2 linked regions of the Lepisosteus oculatus genome follow. The protein of the gene in region 1 purifies or fractionates together with the protein of each later gene. This does not show direct contact. Links are inferred from orthologs where the notes say so. Each region holds a gene or a part of one and is shown on either strand. Other genes may lie near its edges. The genes, in order: rmdn3 and vapb.

Region 1 (12,907 bases):
ATCACACTGTGACAGACAGGATATTAACTCCTCTGTAGTTTAGCCCAAGATTAAAACTGGAGATTTTAGTGTCTTTTCCACAGTAATTCTGAAAGGTGTTTTTGAAAGATAACACTAAATGCCAAAGGAATATGATGCAAAGCCCACACTGTTAAAGAAAGAGGCCTTTCAGAAAAACACAAAGGGATTAAATACTACCTACTCACACAAAACTATGAAATGCAAACTAATGATTAGTTCTCAGAATTTTTTGACTTACTGTACATCTCATAATAAAAAAACAATTTTAGAATATAAGCTTAAAAAATGTCTCCCAATTATTTTCCTAGTACTTCAGTTAACAAGAATCATTTTATTATTCTGTCCAAATCTCCCATTGGCCCTTACCAATCATGGCCTCCTAATAATCCCCATCTATGAATTGGCTTCATTACTCTGCTCTCCTCCCCACTGATAGCTGATGTGTGGTGAGCGTTCTGGCGCACTATGGCTGCCGTCGCATCATCCAGGTGGATGCTGCACATTAGTGGTGGTGGAGGGGAGTCCCCATTACCTGTAAAGTGCTTTGAGTGGAGTGTCCAGAAAAGCGCTATATAAGTGTAAGCAATTATTATAATTATTATTATTATTATTATATATTTTTCTAATAAGAAAAAAACTTCACATCATGATAACAGGACTACCAATGCAAGGAATGCTAGATGCAGATGTTCCCACAAATCATTTTATTTACCAGCTCTGGCTGGCTGGTTACACTATTACATAATGCAATTAGGAGCTGATGTGTCTCTGGTTTTATTTCAAAGCTTCTTGTTTTTTTCATCTACAGTACTTACCAGATGTCAATATTTCCCCTTAATCTGGTGTTATAGAAGTCTTTGAAACAAACAAACAAACAAACAAACAAACAAACTGACTAAAATAATAATTACCTTCAAATGGTTAAAGCACTAAAATGATTTAATATTTTATATCACTGGCTGATGAGTGTAATTTTGTTATGCAACAAGACATAACAGAAAATGTTTACTGGCATTACACAATTTTATCATTAGATGTGCTCTCCCCACCACACCCCACTCATATTGATGGGTTAAGCAATCAGTTTATGTTTGAGTTTCAAAGTTTTTAATAATAACTGATCGCTGAGATATATAATTGGACAATGATGAAACATGGCGGTGAAAAAGGTTAACTAATTTTTAAAAAGGTAATATGCACACATACACCCATCATGAATGATATGTAAAAAAGTGTATTCACCTTTGAATTTAAGTGCACTAGTTAAAGTAAATACTAAGGTAGATTCAGAACATTTGTATTCACCACACTGCTAATAAAAACAATAGTTACTTTGAGCCAGAAATTACATTAAATGAATTAAACTAATAATCAGACTTCTCCTTTAATGTTCATTTAAATTAAAATGCATTATTTCTCAATCAGGGAATACATAATTATGTCCAGCCTGATGCCTCTCTCACACATAGGATAAGCTGCTTGAGAGGCCACTTCTTAACATTAAATTTTGCACTTATCAAGAGAATGTGGTCAGTATATTTCTCTGTTCATCTAGCTGAGTACGGACAATTAATCAGCTCTACCCTATGTAGGATTTCTATGAAAGGTGTGTTGATGTTTTACAGACATAACTGATTTTTAATACCAGAAGACACTCTCCCTCAGTTCACTTCAAAACATCTTCCAAAAAGAGGCCAAAATATAAATGTTTTTATTTCATACTATATAATGCTTTATGTTTTTACATAATCTACCCATAATCTAATATTCTTACTAATTTGTCAGTTTTGTCCTCTCATATAGTTATGTTCCTGAACTGACAGTCCAATTAAGCTGGCAATTTCTACCATACCTCTGGTCTTTAAAGCCCTGCAGTCAAATTGCTTGTACAAAATCCTTATAATGATTTAGACCTATGTCATAAGCATATGTCATAAGCATATTTCATTTGTATAAGCAGAGTTTTGATTAATGGACTGAGTATTTACCACTCCAATCATGTAATCTTAGCATTTTTAAAGCAAAATAATATCACTCACAAGTTGTTGCCCAACATTGTTGTTTTCCTGGCTCCTAAGTAATTCATAAGGGTTGGGTCTGAGTATTCATCCCCAACCATAGTAGGACCAGTTTCCTGAAACACAAGAGAAACAGTCAGGAAAGACACATATCATTTTAAAATCAATACTACATCTACTGCTTTGTTATGCAACTATTATACACCCATATGAGAGAGACAGCAGTTTTATTGCTGGCTAACAGAAAACAACAACAACAACAACATCAACAATATGAGATATATCATATGTTCTACACTTAACCTAAAACTTGAATAAGTTCTTAATTGAAGACGTATTTGTTCCCGTAACATCCCTCAGCTACTGTATATTTCACGCGATAAACAGATTCACGACCAAAGACGCTTTTCCTGGAGTTCTAGCTCGAGATAATTCATCTCCTTTGCAAAGTGTAAATCAATAGTAGAAGTAACAGCATCTGTTTTTGTACAGTATCTTACAAGATTCAAAATATTTTTTCAAGTTAGTTATTTTCGCACAACAATATAAATATATTTTGATGCATACAGCTCATTTTATACTGTAGTTTATACTATAGATACAGTATATTATATCTAATGCTAATAGTTTAAGAAGTCTAAACATAAATACGTTTGAAAACGGTTCTACAGTATATAACATTTAACGCTAATAAAACTAACTGCAACCATCAACATTTCACAAGATAATGTATCAACATTTACACACTTCGCCTATTTGTGAATTCCAGAGAATTCGCGGGCAAGAAGCGGAAGAATGAACTCAATGGTAAATTACAGTATTGGAATCGCAAACCAAACACGTCTGCTTCTAGTTTTTAGGATGGGCTTTTTTGTAAACCTTAAAATGTCTGTTTTACATTTACAAAACGGCCCCGCCCCCCCAACGAGATTTACAGACAACACATTCAATTTAGATCCAACACAGAATACACTGGATAAACCCTTTCTATTACAAAACGTCTAACAATTTGCAGTACAAACTATAACACTTTACGCAATATTTGCTCAGTGCATTCCGCTTTCCACACTATATTTTTTTTCATCCACACCGGAATATCACAAAGGTGAGTCTATAGGACACAGAATTCATTTTAAAGATTCTTTCGGTACCACTGGATTTTAAGGATTGTTGTATGTTTTGATAAAGTTACCAGCATTTCTTAGCACCTAACAAACATTGGGGGCGGGGAAGAAGACATTATCGTTTTTAAGTCTCGTTAGCAAAGGCTTATCCAGCCTGAAATGGTAATCACGGTGCGACGCTTAACTCAAGCTAGTTCTCAGAGCAACCGATGCATGTTACAAACCAGTCGAATCTGTGTGCTGATGAGCACGTAAGGCATCCTCGGACTTGGCGTTCTACCCCCTTTCGCAGTTGTCTCCAAATCGTCCCCTGAGGATTATTTGGCGAGTGCAGCTCTAACCGGTTAATGAAGCAAGCAGCTCTCTTCCACAACAGCTTTCCTACACTGACAGCTCAGAGCAGAATGCGGAAACACCCATCGCAACGGACCAATCATATGCCGACAAAAACACTTCTGTGCCAACGGCAATAAATTTGTATGAAGAAAGCAAAGCATTTTTTTCTTCCAAGCAGACTAAGTCCTTAGATGTGTAATAGAGAGTTGTACTCTCCATTAAGTCCAGCACACTGAAATTCCAATAAATACTTTTGCATGAATACATATTAATAATAAAACCACCATATATTATACTTTCTATTTATTATACGGCTAATATAGTGTTTTGCAAAAGTCTTCAGCCCCTGCATCGTCTTCACATTTTGTTGCCTTTGAGCTTGCAGTCGTGCCACTTAGAAGTAGAAATTAATGTCTGTTACGTACTGTACATAACCTGCTCCTCATATTGAGCAAAAGTCAAAATGAAAAAAAAAAATAACGTCCAAGATAAATTCTCAGATCCCACTGTAGTTTGCATCAGTAGGTACGTGATACTGCGAACAAAGGATTTGTGGTCAGACAAGACACAATTAGTACTTTTTGGTGTATTAAATCGTCAAAAGCCAGCAGAGCACATCATCACCACCATGCCTATGGGGAAGGTTAACCTCAGTAGTGACTTCAAAGCTTATTAGGATTGAAGGAAAAGTATGGATGGGCAAAGTACAGGTACAGTATATGTTAGAGGAAAAATCTGCTTCAGTCCTAAAACTAGGACAAAAATGGACCTTTCAGCAGAGTGATCCAAAGTACAAGCTCAAAGCTACTTTGCAGTGGCTTATGATTATGAAAGTGAATGTTCTCGAGTGACACAGTCAAAGTCCAGGTTCGAATTGTAGTGAGAATCTGTTAAGAGACTTGAAAAATACTGTCCATTAAGTGGTCCCCAAACAACTTGAGAACCCGAGCAAACCTGTCAAGACAAATGGACAAAAATTGTACTAAGCCGTTTTGAAAAGTTGATAGAGACTTACCCAAAAAGACTCAAGGATGTAAGACAGTATTATATTGAAAAGAACGTGTATGACTCATTTTGTAATTTCACCAAATGGGATACCATAGGAATGGTCTGAATAATTTTGCAGTGCTCTGTAATATATATATATATGCTGTACTGTATATACTGTAGATTGATCAAACACAAGCATTTATGTACCATTGGAACAGAGAAAAACAAGTGGCAATAAAATTCCACAGCACATATCTATATATCAATATAGCAGGGGGGTCCATCAGAAATTTAGCTACTCAGACAAGCTTGTTTATTTTTCAGACAGGAAAACAGATGAAAGAGTTATCTCAAGAATTTTCAGAAAATGTTGCAATCAGACCCGGTCTTCCCTGAGTGCACGGCAGTTGGATGATTTGCCACCTCTTATGGTTTTCCTGTGTTCGGCTCAGGTTTCCCTTTTAATCCTGTGGTTTGGAAAAGTCACATAATATCCACTGTGGTTTTATTCTCAAACACGGACATAGAACAATGGTGAATTTTCCTAAAGGGGCACATGTTGAGGATTTCTTACCGCGCTCTAATTTTGTCTTTCAACTGCGAAAACTTGAACTATCCTTCAAAAATGTAATTACTTAAGGCTGTCAATATGTATAACCTCAAATCCTGGTGTCCCATAATACTTTTCAGTTTAATTGAGAAACATGATTCTATGGTGTCCCTTTACTGAAATCCTCTGGTAATACTTCATTTTTGTCCAAAGGCAGACTTGTCTGTTTTAATTCCCAACAAAAATGGATGTTTTGAAAGACTAGAGTTCAGTTCCAAGAAGTGGTCTTAGTTTTTCTATAATCCCTCAGGTTTTGAGAGTGCTTTAAGGGTATTCCCCACATATAATCTATCTTTCTATGCCCTTTGTTGTGTACTTGTAATTATATTTCTTGATGTCTTCTTTTACATGAGTATGTTCCCATGATAAAAAAATTCAAACAAAAATACAGTAAAGCCTCAAAAGATGTCAAGAGATCTTATATGTATGAGTTCTGTCTTTACTTTTAATCATAGGAGAGCTGATTCTTCTCAATCAATCAGTCAGTCAATCAATCAATGTGTATTTGTTTTAAGTTGGAAGAAGTGCTTTGCTTTGCTGAGGTTGTTTCATTTGTAGGGCAAGAGAAAAATAACATGCTCTGATTTTAATCAAAATATATTACTCGCCATTTGGAGAACATTTGCTTTTATCTGTTAAAAATGTGCTGCACTATGAAAAGGGATGATGTTACAATAATTATGAATCACCAATACATAATCTAATAAATTTAATAAATGGTATGTAATAAATATTTCAGTTGGGTATCCATCCACATTTGTTTTACACAAGTTCTAATTTTGAAATACTTTAATTGAGTTAAAAATAGAATGGTTAAGTCAAAGAAGACTTATGTGGATTATGCACACAGTAAAATGAAAAGATCTGATCTGAAAAGGGAAACTCATAAAAATGCCAAGTGGAGTAGACAGGCATTGCGCAAGCTTTGACAATGAAAATATGAAGGTGAAAATAAAAGCCTTTCGATTAATATCACCTTCATGTCCTTTTCCCTGAAAACGGCAACACTGAGATACTGTCTTTAATATCCTCAGAGCTCTTTGTCATTTGAGGCTCATAAACAATAAAAAATCCTTCGATTTTGAAAATAACTGTCAATATACAACAGAAATATCTTCTCCATGTATCTTTCGAAGGCTCAGTGGAAAAAGAATAATGACTAGACTCAAGTGAGTAAGCAGTTTTCAATGTTTATACATTTAAAAAAACATATTTTGAGAAAATTAATAAAATTTCTGAAAAGGCTTGGGAGAGTAATTCTCAGCAGATATTGTATGTACTATTCCATTGTAACAGCATTGTGATTTTTTGTAAATTGCTTTGGGGTGATGCTCACCAGGAGAGAGCAGCTTACACAAAGGCTTCACAGCCAAAACGTTGTGTTTTCTCTCATCTCTTTTTAGCATGTAATAAACCTATTACTTGTTCCTTAAAAGAGTAAATTACAACAATTTGAATTATGTAATAAATTCGGAAATTAAAATGGTTTATAATGTTCCTCAGACGGGTCAAGTACATCAATTTAAGAAATTAAACACATAACGTGAAAAATGTACTGTATAACATACAGTATTAGCATTTTATTGTTTTTTTTTTACCTTTCAAACGTTCTATTTACTACTATAAATAATTCAGCTTTGCTATAATATGATTTGGATTATTAGTACATTTTAAATGATTTAATTTACTCTTGCAACCAAATGAGAGCTGCGGTCTGAATGGCAATCTCTCGTTTGCGACCTTTGTTGACCTGTATGTTCGTCACCCTGTGTCCGTAATGGTTACTGTCACTTTAACCTTACGGTGGGGGCGAGGTATAAAAATGTATAGCTTTTGGTTGCAAGACGGAAGAGTTTTGGTGTAACACTATAGTTTTTTCCCCCCGGCATGCTAAAAAACGAAACAGAAATAGTGAGCACATATACTAAATAGAAACTGATATTATCATATCAGCTAATAAAACGTTAAATAATAATCTTTACTTAGACAAAAACGAAGAAAAACGTGCGATTCTGGTCCTACGTTTTCAAGAGGCTTTCTAGTGTAAGTAAACGTGATGACAGCGGCTGTAGTGTAGTACAACGCAGACAACCGGCTTGAGTGGAGAAAGCGTGGTGTATTCGTGCAATTCAAGGAGAAACACTGAAACTGCCATATTTTAAAGCGCGTTTAGAAAATAAAAGCACGGACACTTTCTAAATAAATTACATGGGGCTTCATTCATATGTTTTTTTTTATTTTAAAACTTTTATTTTACAAAATAATATATTTCTAGTTATTCCTAAACGACACTCTTAACTTAATATTTTTGTTTTCCGATATATTTTAGTATTGCATCTAGTGGAGAGCAAACGTTAATTTGGGACCTCTCATGAATTAGAACCATTTGGTGTACTTTTCTATTATATACAGTATATAAGACTTCTTTCTGTAATGGGCAAACTAGGAACAAATACCTTGGTTGTACTGAGCTTGGGAGCTACCGCAGGAGCTGGATTGATTATTTATTTTATATGCAACGAGAGGAAAAAAAGGAAGGTACGAAAGCTAAGACTGGAAAACAACTCAACACACGCGTTGCACAGGACGGATGGGCCGACTGGAGTTCACAGCACTACACAAGCCCTGGATATCACAGGTAAATCGCACGCAGAATATATTTCAGTTAGCTGCAAACATAAAGGAAACGCTTGAGCAAATGAGTGTTCTGTATATTGAAAGCAGCTTTAGACAGGTATGGTTCCTGAGTTAATTAAGCAATTAACACCCTAACTTCGTGCTTAGGGTCAGTAGCTTTGAGAGAGGGGTGACTGTTGGGGAATGTTTGGCAGGAGCTTCAGTGATAAAGACTGTGAAACGTGCTGATGTTTCACGAGGAACAGTGGCTAAAGTGGTGTTGGCATGGCCGTCTAATGGAAAGACATCATCGCCTAGAGGCAACTGTGGACGAAAGCGCACACTCCCTGCCTGTGATATCCATGCATTGGTTCAGGATAGATGAGCAAAACAGACCAACAATTCTGAATCAGCTGCCTGCAAATGTCAATCTAAGGCTGTTTCATTAAGTACAGTCTGTCAACCTCAGAGAGAGGGATACCATGGTTGGGTTGCAGTGTTTAAATCTTGTATTATAGCTAGAAATGTACTTTTGCAAGTAAAGTGGTGTAAGAACACTAGTAGTGGTCTATTGAGCAGTGGAAAAAAGTCATATGGTCAAATGAGTCACCCTTTGCCCTGTTCTCAACAAGCGGATAAGTACCTGTGTGATGCTTGCCAAGTGAAGCCTATAGGCTCGAGTGCTTGTTTCTTATGGTGCATTGACTGCTTACATGGCAAAGCCATTCTGAGTGATCACGATTGTCATCCTGATGGGAGTGGAATCTTCCAGGATGACAGTGCCCCCCTGCACAGGGCACGAGTGGTGACTGAATGGTTTGATGAGCATGGAAACGATTTAAACCATATCTCATGGCCATCCCAGTCAGGAGGTCTCAACCCAATGGCACACTCATAGGAGATTCTGGAGTGGTGTCTGAGACAGCGTTTTCTACCACCATCAACAAAACCTCAGATGATGATGAAGTTTTTTAATGGAAGAATGTTGTCACATCCCTACAACAGAACGCTTGTAGAATCTATGCCAAGGCACATTGAAGCTGTTCTGGTGGCCTATGATAGCACACTATCCTAATAACACGTTGTAGTGGTGTTTCCTTTATTTTGGCAGGCTTTACAGTATTGTGAAATGTCATCCTTGACTCCCACAGATTCTTTCCCTCTTTCTCCACACTGGCCTTATACCTTTTGCTAAATTTCATGCTATTATGTTTTTGTAAACATAATATGTGTTTGCAGTCATTCTCTTGCTTTTTGCCTTCTCTGTTTTAAGTGGTGTATTGATGCTTCTGTGTTTTCGAAGGAACAAGTACATCAGTTTAAGAAATTAAACTATTAATTATTAATTAATTAAGCCATGAAACTGTCATAGGCTGATCATAGTTTTAGCAGTTATTGCCGTCAAGCCTACTTTGATTGAATAGTTGAATAGTGCTGTATCAGAAACTTGGATTGAACTCTATCTTAATCAATCTGCCCATGTACAGGGTCTTCACTTGGAACACTGTCTTTGGAGCCAGACCGGGGTGTGTTGCCTGAACAGCAGGGGGAGCTGTGGAGCCGGCTGGACGCAGTGCTCCACTGTGTGGCTGAGCTGCGGGCTGAAGTGGCTGACCTGAGGAACGGTCTGCAGGGGATCGCTGACCAGATTGTCCAGGATGTGAAGTGAGGAGAGAAATGCTTGTATGAATGGAATGGTAACTGGCATGAATGCCTTCTGAGGAAGCAGAAGCACAGAAATGAAGGAATGAGCAATGGGTCTTCTTTCCTGCACAATGTATTTTTTTTACTTAATCCTAGTGTTTAACCAGAAAGGTCAATTTAGACAATTTCTCCTTTTAAAATGATCAATTTTAGGCTTATACAGCATTAGTATAGAAAACATAGTAGTGAAAGAAAGAAGAGAGCAATCAGTAAAATGTAAAAGGCATAACATAACAGGATATGGATTTATTAGTCAGTATCAGGCAGAAATGATTAAACTAAAAGAACCCTAGAATACAAAGGCAGATGCCCTCAGCTTACTCTGTAAATTATTCCCTTCATTAGGAATGACATATGGCAAATTGAAATAAGTTTAAAAATTATATTGTTCTTCTTGGATAGTTAAATTTGTTGAATGTACTACATTTTAAATTGAAAGATGTAACTGAGAACTGCAATAAATTAGAGAGGTGTTTTCCCAATTTTGAGTCTGTAAATTTGCTTATGAGGTGTCTAAGTGTGCTTAAATGGCATAATCAGTTGAAAAGTAAAGATCGCCTATTGCCTGAACCATATTAATATAAATGGCGAAAGCAGTAGGGCTCAAAATAGAAACTTGCAGGACTCAGTTTGTAACTGGATGTGGTTGTGAATTATATCTGTCGGGTTTTACACATTGTTTATGGTTTTGGAAATAGTTGCGACACCATACAAGTGAGACTGTATCAAGACAGATATTACGCAACCTTTTTGAAATTATTGAGTGATCCACAGTATTGAGAGCAATAGATTAATGCATGAAGATCAATAACACAGTATGTGAAAGAATTTGAAGCCTCCTTATGTCTCTGTTTCACTTTGTTCTGCAGATTCAGTGTGGAGGAGAGTCAGAAGGCAGCACGCAAACGGAGAATCTTCCTGCCTAGGGAGCGCACCGACTCTATGAGCTCCAGCTCCATCTACTTTTCAGCTAGTGCAGGCCCAGCCAGTGCATACGATGGGGAAAGTGAGGGAGGGTAGGTTTCACAGGTCAAAAGTCTCTGAAATCGCCTGTATTGCATGCATCTCAGAGTTCTCGTGTGGTAACCCGTGTGGATCCCTGAACAGTCAAAACATCATTTTGGAAAGCATTTCGAACAGTAATTGAAACTGCGCCGAAAATGAGATTAAGATGTGTGCACACCTCAGGATTGAGAATGCTGTTTTCTAAAAGTTTAAGTTTGAGGAAAGATGATATCTTGCAGAAAACGGAGTTAAAGTGGTGGTAGCAAGTTATGGTGGAAGCAGCATATGGACAATCACAATTATTTATCGTTGGAGATATGAAGGATATGTCCATCTTTAAATGATCCTCCACATTCATGCAAACATAAATTGCAAGTACCATATTGCAAGTACTGTGAGTAGAAACGTCATGGATAAGTCACGTGACCTGCATTCCTTCTTGCACACTTGAAAAGGTTGTTGGCCTTGATAAAGTGGGGGGAAAAAAAAAACAGGCAAAGCGACAAGTCGCTGTTGATTGAAAGACGGGTTCCCATGGAGCTTCTTTTTCAAGAATTTGTCTCTGCAGATTTGAAGAGTACCGATCCAGGAAGGAAAACAGGAAACCGAAGGGGCACCGAGCTGAAAGCAGAAAACAAATTAAGAATCCCTCCTGCCAAAACACACTTTCAGAAGCTCTTTCTTGAGCCGCCCCCACCTTCCGGTAGCCCCTGTGTGAATTCCTGTTACAGCTCCAGCGCTCCATCTTATTAGCGTCCAAATGCACTTTCACTCTTACCTGGGCTCCCGCTGGGACTGACCTGGGTGCTTCCCTGCGGTGGTGGAGAGGAAGCACTGGGGTGGCAGGCAGGGAGGCTGTGCAGCTCTGCCCATCCTTGGCACAAGGACGCGCCCTGCCTGCGCAGGCCTTGTTGGCTTTCTTGTTTCGGCATCCGATGTTTTAGCCGTGCCCTCATCAGGGATGCTTCACGTTAGAAGTGTTAAAAACTTCCCTACTTCCTGACTTTGAGGAAAAGAAGCAGAACAATGATGGGAAAGTGGTTATTTTCCCTGGAACCTCTTGAGTGAGGCTTCAGGGTCACCCCCTTCCGAAACAGTGCAGAGGAGCTATTTTTGTGAAGTGCGCTGTTTAATAGAGTACATGTGAGCCAAAAAAAGCTTTGGGTGTTATATAACGCTTGTATTATGTTTTTTTTGTAACAAAGGTGGAAAAAAAACCTTAGAAAATTCAGGTCAGTTAGCTAAAGGTGGCACAGATCCAACCGCATCAGGAGATCTCTTCAGAAAATTGCAGGGCACTTAGGAGCCATTTAGCCTGTCATTGTTTTTATTCTTTTAACTACGCTTTTATCAGAAAGGGAAAACATGGGTGTCTTCTTCTTTTGAAGTATTTTTTTCCCATCACTCAACACATCAAAGACATGATGATTATAATTAGGAAATGTCAAAGAAGCACAACCACCCAAAGGTGTGCATGATAACCTTTACAATCCCAAACTTTCTTTTTTAATTTTTTTGCTTTCTGGCTCATGTCTTGTCAGGTCATTTATTTTTATACTTTAGACAAATGTTGATAAAGTTAGATACATTTGTCAATTTAATTGGTGCTTGGAAATATTTTGCTAAAATGATGACAACAAAAAAAAATATCTTTCTTGTGGTAATGTAATGTACTGTAATCTAAGTCCTGCATTCATGCCAAAATTAAGTAAGGAAATCTTATCCACCTTATCCAATTTGGGGTCGTGGAGGAGCTGGAGCCTATCCTGGCAAGCAGCAGTCCATCCCAGGGCTCTGTTATCATTCACATATTCAAAATGTTTTCATGAACAGTAAAGGTTTCTCTTTTCTTGACTTCTCAGGTACACGACTGCTAACGCCGAGTCCGATTACAATGGAGAAACGGACAAGGACACGGATGAGGAAGATGAGAGTTGCGCAACGGTGAGGACGCTTCGACGAGACTCGCTCTGCCTGGATGACGATGAGCCTTCCTCCCAGCTTGACTTCGAACTGCCCAGTGATGAGCTATCCCTCCTGCTGGCGCAGAGTGACAGGCTGCACTCTGGAGCCAAGGAGGAGAAGGCTGAAGGTTTTCACCTGCTGCTCACAAACAAGCCCCTGGTAGGTGCAAACTAGAGTGACAACAGGTATAACAGCAAGAAATGTACAGAAGTGAATTGAGTTTTGGCCATGAAGATAAACTGACTCCTGGCATATTTAAAACAACTGCTTTAAGTACTAGACATCAGTTCATACATCCATTTTCTATCCACTTTATCCAGTAGAGGCTCGCGGGGGAGCCAGAGCCTAAGATGGACACCAGTCAACCACAGGGCACACACAGATGCAAATACAGACATACTCACATGAAGTCCAGTTTTCCCAGAAGCCAAATAACCTACCAGCATGTCTTTGGACTGTGGGAGGAAACCGGAGTAACCAGAGGAAACCCACATGAACACGGGGAGAACATACAAACT
Region 2 (12,928 bases), on another chromosome or scaffold:
TCTCTCTTCTCAGAGAAGTCCCAGAAAAGGAAGCCAAGGACTACGCTGACTCCATTCATGCCATCTTTGTGGAAACCAGTGCCAAAAACGCCATTAACATTAACGAGCTCTTTATAGAGATAAGTAAGTACTGCCTAGGGGGATTAAAACCCATTTTGTTCTCGCCAACCCTGCAAACAAAATCATACTGAAGATGAGGCTCTAGATACTCGTTTTTATTTATTTATTTCATAATTAATCCCTCTGAGGCCAGCAGCGCCGCAGCTGTGCTAGTGAGATTACACTCCCTGTGCTGTGCGCTGGCAGGCTGTCAGAGGCAAGCCTACACCCACCCACCCTGTATACGTTACACTGCGAGCTGAGGAACAGATCTGTTACCCTGCTAACGGGCTGCCAGCTGGAGCATCTAGTTACCCTCACGCTGTTTTTGAAGTGAAACGAAGTGCCTCGTTATCCCAAGAGCTCCCTCTCCTCAGCCTTCGGGGTGCTTGCTTTGACCCAGTACGCTGTGCCTGTCTTGTGTCATTGCACCCTTGGACTGTCCCTGCCCAGTCTGCCCCCAGTGATTAGTGGGATTCTTCTAATGAATGCTCGCTCTTAGCATTTGGTGCACGGCTACGCTCAGCGTGAATCTTCTTCTGATCCACTTTGTTGAGATTTTTGAATCACCAGGCGTGCTCGGTGTCAAGGGGCTTGGCCAAGCCGTGTGCTACCTGTCCAGTGTCCTCACCATCCTCCCAGGACCAGCTGGGATGTGCTTCAGAAAGGCCTTGGAGCATCCCTAGGGTGGCGGGGAGCCGGGTGATTCCAGTGTAGTAGTGCGGAAGGAGAATTCGGGGGAGTGGGGGAGCTTGTATTTCATCTTTCCCCTGTTTGGATGGTTGGGTTCCGGTCTAGAAAAACACAGGCAGTAAAGACGCTTTTATAGGACAGCAGCCTACTCACCGCTGAAAGGCTTCAGGGAGTCTGCTCTCAGGTTTGGCTTCTTATGTGCTAGTACTTGTTAATGCCACTGCCTGTTTGATAATTATCCTTTCTTCCGATCCTCTTCAGGTCAGAGGATCCCTGTGACCGATCCCAGCATGGGGGCAGCCGGGAAAGGCTTTAAACTTCGGAGGCAGGCGTCGGAGTCTCGCCGCAGTTGCTGCTGATACAGTGAGGGGCCCTGGGATTCGCCCCCCTGGGGGGAGGGGAGGGGCGGGGAGAGTGTGTCCGCAGGGCGTGTCCATTGAGAGGTTCCACACTACGCACAGACGAGCCGAGCCTCAGCCAAGCGAGCCCAGGAGGTGAAGAGCACAGAGGGACACAGGAACTCCTGTGCGTTTCTGTTTCACTGTAGTCCTGCAGCAGGGAGCCCTTACCTGTTGCTGTCCCACCTACCACTTCACATCTGGAGCCACGAGCAGGATATGACAAACAGCAGCCTTCACCCCTGTCTGCCCCCGAGATCTGTCCAGAGTGCTCGCGTGTTCCTGCCCGCACTGGGCCTTCCAGAGACCGAGGAAGCAATGAGGCCTTCCTGGCCCGTAAAACCGCAAATCTCGTTTTATTGTGCTTATAGAGTTTAAAAAATGGAACTCTAATGTGGACTTTTTTTTCTTCTGCTGTTACCATTCAGCTCAGAGAAACTGAAGTCTTGGCAGCAGGAGATGGTCTGGTTTTCGAAGCACTTTTCCTCCATGAGCTGTGCTGCTTTCTTCTGCTGGCTTAATTTGAAGAACGCAAGATGACTGTGGATTATTGAACTGTGCCAAAACTCCCTTCCCCTTTTAATTTTCCACCTGTAAATCTTCTGGGTTTCTTTTCCACAAGAAGCTGTAATTAGGCCTGCATGAATTGCTCCTGCATGCAAGTGTCACGGTATGGCAAAGTACTTTTGGGGAAAAGAGACTAATTTAATGGCTAATTAAAAAAATCCTCTGACTGACCCGCCCACCTCCCGCCCTCAGAAGCGTGCCGTGCTCTGCAAGGGTGCAGGCAGGAAGCTGGGAGTGGGGGCGTGGCAGTGTAGCAGCTGAGTGCCCTCATGGTGTAGCAGGCGGCTGACGTGATGTCACTGGGGGCGTGGCTTGCATCACCCGTGGTTACAGCAGAAGAACTTCCCTGGAAATACTGGTTGAGCCATGAGGCAGGGGGTGGACTTCAGCACTGAATTGTGAAGGACTGGAAGATGGAATTCCCACTGAGAAGGGAATTAGTTTATAATTGTGTACTGTCAAGGGGAGCCGGGGTGGGGCGGGGAAAAGTTCAAACATGGAAAGGCCGGGGTGTGACCGGATCGTCTGTTTCTTTTGTGTTTTGGTGTGGCCGTCCAATATTCCCTCTTGTTGTCAGCTTGGTGGCCCGATGGCTCGTGGGCAGGCCGGGTCTCTCCATGTGTTCGGGACAAGAGAGATTTTTTTTAAAAATGGGAACGGCTAATAAGACTTAACCTCTGTATTTACAACTCCTGTCTGCTGGTCTCCCTGCCCCCAGGACCCGCCTCTTCATGAGGCTCTGCTGGATTAAGTGACCGGATTGGGAACAGGCCAATAGGAAGGGCTCACTGCTCCCACCAGTCGGCCTGTCTCTCTCACGCTGTTCCCTGCTCACAATCATGCTCACTCGTGCTCACTGGGCCACTGGCCTGCCAGGCATGGCGTGTCTCACTGGACTCGATTGCTTTCGCCACAGAGTTTATCTCTGAACCTTCACTGAACCAATTTCAACATAATTAGCTAGAAGTACCCAAACGAGCTGGGTGTAGACGAGCTGAATGGCCTGCTCTCACTTGCGACCTTTCTGAGCTCCAATGAGAACTGATCATGAGAGGAGCACACCCGCGTCAAGGAGGAACCAGGATTTCAAGCTGACACATGGCTGTTTTAGGTCAGTAGGCACATTTATTCTGCTGTCGCAACAACTGAAAAGGTTTCCGTACAGTTGGCTGGTGTTTTTGTGTGATGTACTTACAAGGACACTTTGGAAACATCTTGAGTTTGTCTTCTTTTAAGGGAAACCAGAACTGGAACTGATGACCGTGGAGCAGCGGTCTGGCTGCCAGAGCCGAGCTCGTAAGGCGGCAGAGGAGACTGGTGGCGGCCATGTGTGCGACACAGGTTCTGTTCCAGCGGTTGGAATGTTTTCCTCATTTCGGTTTTACTAGTTGGCAAACGAGCCAGGCTTTGGAATTCTGCGAACGGATTACCCGGCTGCGGTCCAGCCAGTCAGCAGCCAACCCGTTTTACGTTGTGTCAGTCATGCTAATGTTTTTAAAAAGCCTGTTTCAGCTGCGCGGCGTTCGCTGGCAGAGGTCCTCTCTGGCCCCTTGCGGGGTTTTTTGTTCACCTCAAACAGGAGAAATGCGTTTAGAGGGCTTCTGCTGGTCCCTTAATTGTCCTATAAACCTCTTTCTTATTCTTTTACAGAATAAGTCAGTTCCCCTCCAGCTCCAAACTGATTTTACGAGCTGGACGGGGATGAAAAGCAAAGTACGGTATCTGGAAAGTAGAAAAGTTTCGGGAAGAATCCAGCCAGTTTTTCAAATCACCTGCTGCACCCACGCTTTCTCCTGCTGTTAGGAGGTTTCAGAGGCTCCTGCAATATGAATTCCGCCCTTTTTTCTGGTACACCTGTGGTTACAAATGACCTGTCCATCCGTCCGTTTTCTAACCTTTTCGTCCAAGTGAGGGCTGCAGGGGAGCCGGAGTCTATCCCAGCAAGCAGCGGCTACAAGGCAGGGGACAGCCTGAATGGGACGCCAGTCCTTCGCAGGCTAAAACATTGATGAAAAAATAGTTTTAATACCATACCTTAATTTGTTTTACAGTCATACCTATACCTTAACATGCAGCACACTGTTCATATCACTTGAAAGCCTTTTTAAGCAAGTTTCTGAGCCCGCAGGGACGCCTGCCTGTTGCCCCCTCCAGTTCTGCGTGAATAAATGGAAAGGTGGCTGGATAACAAAAGTTGAAGTTACGCCTGTGAGCTGGTTACTTTTTTTAAACCAGTGGCGTGTCTATCCCAGCTCTTCCTACAGCTCTTCCTGTAGTGTTCCCTGTATCCAAGTGCCGGAGCTCTTATCCCTAAGGAGATGCCTTTCGCTTTGTTGTTGTTGAGGTGGTTTTCATACCTAGGCCAATGGCTGTTTGATGAAGTTTAGCACTGAGCTATTGCACTGTTTTCTTGTGAAACAAGCTTTTGATTATTACAGATTAGGACATGCTAGAGAATATTAACGGAAAAAGCCCTGCATTTATAACCCTCCATATCTGTGAGAAGCTCTGCAGCAAAACTGGATTTTCATCTTTTCAGCAAAAAAAAAAACCCATTCAAAATAAGAAAATACAAGCGCAAGAGCCCTGTAACACAATGATCTTGTTTATGATGCTGTGTGGTGCTTCTTAATTGGTTTTGTAATCACTTAAATAGGATAAAAGAAATGTCTTCTGGGCATTTCTCAAGCAAGGTTAGTTTTAAGAGATGTTATTGTTGCTCTGCAGCAAGTGGGGACAGAGGACAGCTTTTACTTGGAAAGTGGAAATTAAAGAATTGATCCACAAAAACGCTCACATGTTTTTCAGTGGTGGAGTCATTCTTGCCTTAAATCATGCATCTTTGGTCAACAATGCAGTCTGGGAAAGTATGACCTCCATCTGACCTCCACCTTTCAGCTGAGCTGTTTGATCTTTTCTTCTGGCCTACTTTTGCTGAATGGCTTTTATTGTTGTTGTTGCTCTGTTAATGAGAGCAAAGGGAGAGTAATTGAATATCTATCGATTTTCAATATAATGCGTTTCCTTAGATGCCGAATGCTGTTTGAACGGGAAATGTTATCAATTGGATCTGACATAGTAATCAGGTTATTAATTTTAACACTAAAGCAACCCAAACCACCACTGTTTCCACCTGTATACATTTCTCACAGAAACTGAAACTGCATTGAAGCGCAGTAGCCATACCTCGTGTGGAGCTGATGTTAGACACTGCTTCAACTTCTTCTTTTTTGTCAATGCAATTTTATTTTATTTACAGGCAGAAACCAGAAAGGAGCTCATGTTTTGGCTCAGTGGTTCAGACAAGCATGTGTAGGCAGTATGACAGGCCCTTGTGCTCCTGAAGAGAAGTGTGTGCCTCCAGCCTCTACTGTCTTTTCAGGAAAGAAAACTACCCAGTAGAGTTTCAGATTGTTTAAATGTGTTTTTTATGTGACTTTTTTATTTGCATGTTGCACACAGATGGACCAACCCATTTTTTAAAGGGACTCTTTAGTGAAGCTGTAAGTCATTTTTAATGTCTGGACATAAGCCACCTATGCTTTTTGAGCGGCAGTCTGTGGCTTTTGGTTTCGCACTTTGTGATTTTGTGTAAAGCTTTATTTTAAAGTCGTGAGTGTGCAGTGATATCTTGCATTCATGCTTTGCCACCCTGTAGACCTTTGAGCGCCTCAGCAGTGCAGATTGTTCCTGATGAGGCAGTGTAGAGATGTGTTTTAATGAGCCATGGTGAAGATGAGAGGTCTCCAAAGGTAATGCAGTTGACTCCAAGCAGGATTCCAAGGAGTGCTGCTTTTTTTTATCAGCAGCACATTAGAGCCACATCTTTAAGACACTGGCTCAACAGCAGGACTTTGATCCAAACCCAGAGCAAGGTCTGATTTAAGTACAAACTAGTCCAGTGAGAGTCAGTCTTCCCTGTACGGTACATCAGCTTTCAGTCAAAAATGCTTCTCTGCTTAAATTATTTGTGGATTTCAGACTGGTTATTTATTCAGTCACACCAGGGCACGCACACTGAGGAGCGAAATATTATAATGATTTTAATTGCTCCATGAACAGTTATCTTCTTTCGGCTGAGCTTTCTGAAGTGCTACATTTTAAAAATTTAAAGGTGCAAGCAAGAGATTTAATATAGGTGTGGAAAAGAGACATTTTTTTTCAGCGGAATACAAATTTGGTGTTATAAATAGGCTTCATTTGTAGTGAAAATGTTACCACTTTAGTTAAAAGGTTTGTTAGTGATTCTGCCTGACTGCAGAAAGATGTCCCTTGATATTGCTGTGTTGGAAAGTGCTTTAAAGTCAAAGCCTTCTGTTTTTTAGATACTCGGTTCCTTATTTTTTGGTCCAGTTGTCTGTGAATCATCGCTTACTTTGTTGGTAAGGTGTAGCAAGTTTGCAGTAAAGCACTGCTGTCTAGTGTGTTCTGCTGGGGCTGTATGGGAATCGTTAAGCGTTGGGAAGGAGTGGAGAGCTCCTGCCTCAGTGATCACCAGCTTTTAGCCATCGGAACCAACCTGCTTTCAAAAGGCTTCCTTCCGCTACGGATCAAACCTTTCATCAGCGTGTTAAAACAGTGCAGTGTGTTGAGGAATGATAAAAGATGCACATCCGAGTCTTCATTCTTTTGGAATTTGAGCCTGGATGTGCCGTTTTCCGTGTTGCCTTTGGGAAGGGCAAGGCGGCTCTGCATCGGTGAACTGTTGTTCGAGCACTGTGGTACGACAGCGTGTGTGCTTCGCTCATGTTTGCAGTAGTGATGCTAACAGGTCTGGTGCCTTCATATCGTAGCTGCTGTAGAATATTTAACCGCTTGTATCAGGCGCAGTAACGCATTGGCTTAGCTTCTGTGCATGAAATGTGATGCTTTTGCTTTGCAATATGTAGTGTTTTTTGTGTGAAGGAGATTGTCAGTCATAAACATAAACAATGTTGAAGAAATCTCTTGAAGTTCCTTATCTCGGGCTGGTCCTGAGACAGTGTAGCAATTCCCTTATAATTATATAATGTTTTAATGTAGATACCATGCAAACGTATATATAAATACGTGAATACCCTAATACAGTTTTGGAAGGTGAGCTAAGTCATATCATTATTTACCATGAGTTGTTTGCAAAGGCACCACCCAAAAAATACTCCATCTATAATTTGTCATATTGAGCTTTAATATTTTCATATCGATTGTACAAATAAAAATGCTTGAAATCACTTTACTATGTATTTCTGAATGTGCAAAAGGGAAATGTCAAGCTGTTTACTAATAAAAACATTTATTAAAGAACACAACGTCTGGTCAGTGGCATCTGTTCCAATGCAAAAAAGTTTCAGATTGGATTTTTTTTCTTTTAGTACCCTCTGACCAGATGTCCATGCTTCCCACAAAGTCATCAGATCAAGTTTTTGTTGAAGCCTGTGAAAAGATTAAAATCCGGATTTGGTACAGATGTACAAAGAGATCTTTACCCAGCAAAACAATGACTGTCAATTACAAACCAGTGCGAACAATCAGTATACCCCACCCCTAATCAACCCACACATACACAGTTTTGATTTATACCTGTACAAAAACTTGATAAAATCACCATATGAGTCCAAATCCATCGTCGCATTAAAGTTTTTAAATCCCAATCCCAAGAGGTTAGAAGGTATGCAAGTAATTGATCTGAAAATGTCGATGTTTTATCCTAACTCTTCCACATGACGGCCAGGGGATCTTTCTGCGGAATGTTCCCCCGCTGGGGGAGCTGCGATTACTCGCTGGCAGCAGGAGGATAAAGTTACGGTGACATCAGTGAGATTGAGAGCCAGCAGCTTCCATCTCTATATATGTCGTACTGGAGGTATGTGCCTCCCCGCTCAACGCTGCCCTTTGAATTGTGCTGAGCAGGCCAGAGTCCTGCCGCCCTGACCTTCCACCCCTTCAGACTGGCACCACGCCCACCGGCGGAGCGACGCGGACCCTGCGCTACAGCACAGCTGAAACTGACCCCCGTACTTTTCTTTTGCATCGGTAAAACGTGTGCAACGGGAGCTCGTGGGGGAAAAACAAAACAAAAACAAAGGAACCCGAAACGGATCGAACCATCTCTGTACTCCCTCAAGATGGGTAAAACACTCCTGAAGCTCATGCAACTTAACACAGGAGCGGCTCAGGTGCGCTGTTAACACTGTTCTTAACCCTGAAGCTGTACAATGGGCCCCCGATGCAAAATATATATATTTTTTGGTCATTATTTTTTGAATCGGTTATTCAGTGCTGTAGCCTAGGTGGGGGAAGAGAGAGAGAGAGACACACCTTGCACCCGGGGCCAGTTGGAGCCCCCCCGCCGACTGGGTAATGCAGGGGCCGTGACGTCACCGGCAGCCTCTCTCTCACCTCCTTCCTGCTGCATCATCACTGCCGCTAGCAGCTCGAGCCGCGCTCCCCGCAACCGAGCGACCGTTCACCCCCCTCGCTCCCGGACCGACAGCCCGCCGAACCGCTCCGAACCGCCGGGACATGGCCAGGCAAGAGCAGGTCCTCCTTCTAGAGCCGCAGCACGAACTGAAATTCCGAGGTAAGGAGGAGGAGAGGCGGGCCCGAGCAGAGCCGCCCGCCCGCCCGTCTCCAGCCGACGGTGTGTGCGGTGGGCTCCTCTGAAGGCGGCGGCCATGTTGAGGAGATAAGGGGGGTGGGCGGCGCGCATAGCGGGCTGGTGTGGGCCCTTCGGTCGCCGGGGAAGACGCAGATGGAGCCGTGCCGCCGGGCAGCCTTTCGCCGGCGCGGAAGGCAGGGCTGTGCAGAGGCCCCCCGCGTTTCCTTCCCCGTCTCCCCTTCGGCGTACCCTGTTTGGTCCCGCGGCCTAGGCGTTAGGACACGGCAGGGAAGTCGTATCTGGCGCTGTGTGTGTATGTGTCCCCCCCCCCCTTTCGGAGAGGTTGACTAGGGTCATGACTCTGCCCTGAACCCCCCCAGCCCCCCACCGTCTTGCAGCGGGATCACAAGCGCCTCTGCTTCCTTGTCGCCCGGCGGCCCGTCTCCGGGGAAGCGGCCGTCTGTGCTGCAGCGCCGCCGGCTCGGCTCGGCTCTTGCACACGGTGTACAGGCCGCCTCACTCCAGCGCTTGATCTCGTTTGTGGGTTTGATTTCTTTCTTTTTGGGGGGGGGCGTTTGCGTTTTCTTGTTTTGCGACGGGCGGCCGGCCGGCCGGCCGGCTTGTGCGAAAAGGAGCGGTCATCTGTAGAGGCTAGGCCACAACAACCAGCCTTCTGAGCCTTACGTTATGAGGGATCAGCATGTCAGTCCAGCTCTGTGTGCATTTAGATGGGTGTTTAGCACGTACAACAGTCAAGCGTACTTGCAGAGATGCAGTCGTGCAGATGCTCCTGTGCAGAGATTGAAATGGTGACTGTCATATGTAAATAAACTTCTTCTTGGTGTAAGTTTCTCCCTCTTTTTAAAGCCAGCAATGTGCTGGTACAGCTTGTGGATCAGATCCTCACTCCTGGCTGGTGGGATTACAACCCACTCTGGACACTGGAGAGGAATTAGCGGTGTGGTTTTGCCCAGGGCAGTGAATAGGATGTCCCACACGTGCTCGGTGGTGACCAGCCCATACAGTGGCAGAGGCCAGGATGTCTTGGCGTGAGCTGGGTCAACAGCCCTGTCAGAACGCAAAGGGAGGTGGCTCGTGGACAGGCTGTGTCATCCCGGGGAGTCCTGAGTGACCGGGCCCATGTCGCAGCCTCTGGACAGTCCACTAGCTGGGAATGTCTGGTGGCCTCACTTGCACCCTGCACCCGCTGCGGATGTGATGGTATATAATTCCTTGAAGGTAAAAATGTGTTGCTGTACAGGTGTGCTCTTCCATATACAGACACACACCGTGTAAAAACCTGGATCTTCCCGGGGAAAAATAAAAACTTGGACCTCTAAATTCCATGGTAACATGCCGTCTTGCTGACCTCCCTTCTGCTCCTTCGGGCCATCCGATCATCGTGTGACATGAAAATAACAGCGCTTCCAAATGAGACCAGAACCAGTCGGGTCACCCAGCCATTTCTTGGAAGAGCCCGGGGTGTCATCTTTAATGGCACGCTTGGGTGGGTGGGCAGCTTGTTCTGCTCTCCCATCAGCCTCTGGGTCAAGAAGTGCCCCCTCAGTCGCTGCCTGCTTGCGTGTGTCAGACCGTGGGTATTTTATTTTGTCTGCGTGGCTTTGTAAGACTGTGTTTTAGAGTGTAGGCCTGCAGCATTTTATATGTGCATTAAGCTTCAGCCTCCAAAGCAAATAAACCTTTATCTTAATCCATTCAGATCTGCATTTATTTTTCTCACACCTGTGTGGCTCGGTGACGGTGAACATTTTTTTTTAGACGATTGAGTCCCTCTGGGACTCATCACAATTAATTGTAACACAACTGTAAAAAAATAAAATCAATTTTTTGTCCGACCTTCCTAGGTTTTTGGCAGAAGTTAGCGTTCGTGTCTGAATAAAGGAGGAATGCCGAATGTTGGTGTTGAAACCCGTTTATACTGCTCTGTTGCACTGCGCCCACTTTCTGATCTTGCCAGCACGGCTCTCTCTGCTCCCTGTTTTTAGTGCCCTTTGCCCTGTGGGGTGGCTACTGCTCTCACCCTTCGGCAGAGAATACTTTCAGGCCCTTCTGATCTGAAAATGGAAAGATAGTTTACCATCCAGCTCCTAAATCTTTTTTTTTCCCTCCATTCTGAGTCATTGATTTATCATCTGTGTCCTTCAGACAGGCTTCTTTTTGTGGTTTTCTTTTGTGCGACTGAAAACTTTTGGGGGGCTATTTTTCAAGGCTGTTGCCAAGCAGTTTCTTGTGGTTTTCTTCTTCTGTTGACATAGTGGAGATGAGAGCTCCTCCAGCGATTAGCCAGTCCAGGTCAGAGCATTTTTTCCTGAATGGAACTGCGCTGCTAATATTTGGCACAGGCCCTGCATTGGTGAACTCTCTCCCGAGAGAGCTCCATAGAATTTCCTCCAGAGAGCCACTTGAAAGATCTGCCTTGTTTTCAAGGACAGCTTTTATCGGAAATATTTTGCAGACAATTAAATGTAATTAGGTGGGAATCTAGAAAAATGTCTTTGGTGCTTCCAGTGGTTCAGGGTGTTCCAAGGAGTTTTTAAGTAATAAAGTTAAGCTGTGCAAATACAAGAAAAGCCCTTTGATGCTAGTGTGGCATTTCGGGGTACGCAGTCTCACTCACACTTCTTAACACCACTCACTGCCATCCAGGTGAGTTCCTGCCTTTGGCCCTGTCCATCATTTCACTAATTCAGGTGCACAAGAGCCAAAGAAACAGTCAGAAGCTTTCCTGTTTCTTTTCCTTTCTTGTAAATGTGTGGTTCTTGGTATGAATCTTGCAGTACTGCTTTTAACTACAGCAACAGGATCTTTCTGGTCCTTGTGAACTCGCTTATCTTTACGAACAGACTCTAAGGGATACCCCAAGGAATTCTTACTGTGATCAGCTGAATGATTCCTGGGCACCACTCTGAACCTTTCAGATGAAGAACCCGCTTCCGGAAGTCCCTTAAAGCTAAAATATGTCTGTTCACCAAACGACTGATGCCCAGGGATGTCTTCCAGCTATTTATTCAATCCAGTTAATAATCTCGATTGAAGCTGTCAACGATAACAAGGTGAAAAAAGAAGCCAGAGTTATTGCAAGAGCAGTAAATAAAATAGGCGTGGTGTCTTTGAGAGGTTAACGTGGGGCAGGTGGCCCCACGTTATGGATATCCAGGGAGAGCATTCCCCGAGCCCTGCTGCGGCTGTCCAGCATCTCATCAGCCCTCATGCGGTCTTTGTTTTCCGTCCCTTCCTGCTCGCTTCTCCTCTTCGCCCGGCGGTGCTATTGATTAATGCATTGCTCGTGGTATTGATTGGATAGAGGTGTCTGAATTGCCGACAGCAGGGAGCATGCTTTCTAACGAGCTGTACCCTAATTAGCTCCACCGGCCTGTTTTATTCAAACGGGCGGATGTGCCCGACTGGAATGTTTTCAGATCTGGACTGGTGGCTGCCACAACAGTCCGGAACAGTCTTACAGGCTGTGAAATCAATGGGTAGTCGGGTTCCCATTTCATGTGTAATAAAATATAAAAATAAGAAATCGTGAGCCTTTTTTCCCTTCTAGTCTGTACGTTAGTTGTGAGAAGTGTCTGAATTCAAGGTATGTACACAGTTATTGCTGTCGTTCTGAACATGGCAGTTGTGTTCTATTTGTGTGTTGCATTTCCTTCTGCGTTGTTTGATGCAACGGTTTTCCTTGGAAGCTTTGGTCTCTATGGCTCCCGTGAGCACAGCTGTTTGCACATGGGGCACCTGAAGCCTCGTCAGGTGGTTGACTTCATCCTGCCTGAAGGTTTTGTGTAACTGAGTTCTTCAATAATTTAACTGAGCTTGCAGGGCCTCTGTGGGAGAGCTCTGGGGAGTCTATGCGAGTATCACCAGCTGTGTGAGCTTAGGATGTGTCACTACCTACAAAAGCTTACAAACCACGAGACCTGTCCTTCATTGTGTTTAATAAACACCATGCCTAGACATCTGAAACAAAATCCTTCTTTTGTTTTCTTTGGGACCTTGCTTTTTAGTTTTTTTTTAACCTGCCTATATTTTCCTCTTTTGTGCAAAGCAAATCAGAAACAAAGCTTTCAGGCTGGTTATCTGGGGTGTAGCGGATTCAGATCCACATATTTCATGCTTGAATCCCAGTTGCTGCATCTTCTATGTTCAAGCTGTGGTGTTTTGGGTTGTCAGGTTCAGACGGCAGGGGCTGTGATGTGTGAACGCAGTGCCATGTTTCTTCATGTGTTAGATTTACAAGAAGGCTGACATGGGCATGTAGCTCTGGAACAACACAAAATGCAACATCTAGATTTCAGTGAACTCTGCACGGACGATATCAGGTCTTCCTGCTGCAGCCGGTGTGAGGATGTTGGAAACCTGCAGGCAGAGAATGGTGCTTATGCACTCCTTTGTCTTTTTGTGGGTTCGTTAGACCCCACCTCCCCTCCTCACATTAATTGAAAGGTAATATTTAATGAGCGGGATGTGGAAGAAGTGGCAGGTGGGCGTGTATGCGGCGCGGGCGCCCGGAGCACGTCCGTGCCTCTGCGCGAAGGGTCAGGGGCGCCATTTTCTCAGAGCCTGTTAACTC

The links.
Region 2: the proteins of rmdn3 (region 1) and vapb purify together in Homo sapiens (affinity purification with mass spectrometry; 4 studies listed by BioGRID and IntAct, counting the BioPlex papers as one, with this or other methods). This does not show direct contact. The link is inferred for Lepisosteus oculatus from reciprocal best matches to the Homo sapiens genes RMDN3 and VAPB.

Annotation. Positions count from the first base shown.
Region 1 is NC_090703.1:17,032,601-17,045,507, reverse strand, and holds the start of rmdn3 (regulator of microtubule dynamics protein 3), read left to right. Parts: upstream 1-6,973; 5' UTR 6,974-7,532; coding exon 7,533-7,737; intron 7,738-9,202; coding exon 9,203-9,380; intron 9,381-10,288; coding exon 10,289-10,435; intron 10,436-12,286; coding exon 12,287-12,548; intron 12,549-12,907. Other genes in the region: gchfr (GTP cyclohydrolase 1 feedback regulatory protein), read right to left, coding at 2,061-2,155, 3,388-3,423.
Region 2 is NC_090711.1:1,775,190-1,788,117, forward strand, and holds the start of vapb (vesicle-associated membrane protein-associated protein B/C), read left to right. Parts: upstream 1-8,145; 5' UTR 8,146-8,258; coding exon 8,259-8,316; intron 8,317-12,928. Other genes in the region: rab22a (ras-related protein Rab-22A), read left to right, coding at 14-123, 1,054-1,151. UniProt on the Homo sapiens protein: Endoplasmic reticulum (ER)-anchored protein that mediates the formation of contact sites between the ER and endosomes via interaction with FFAT motif-containing proteins such as STARD3 or WDR44.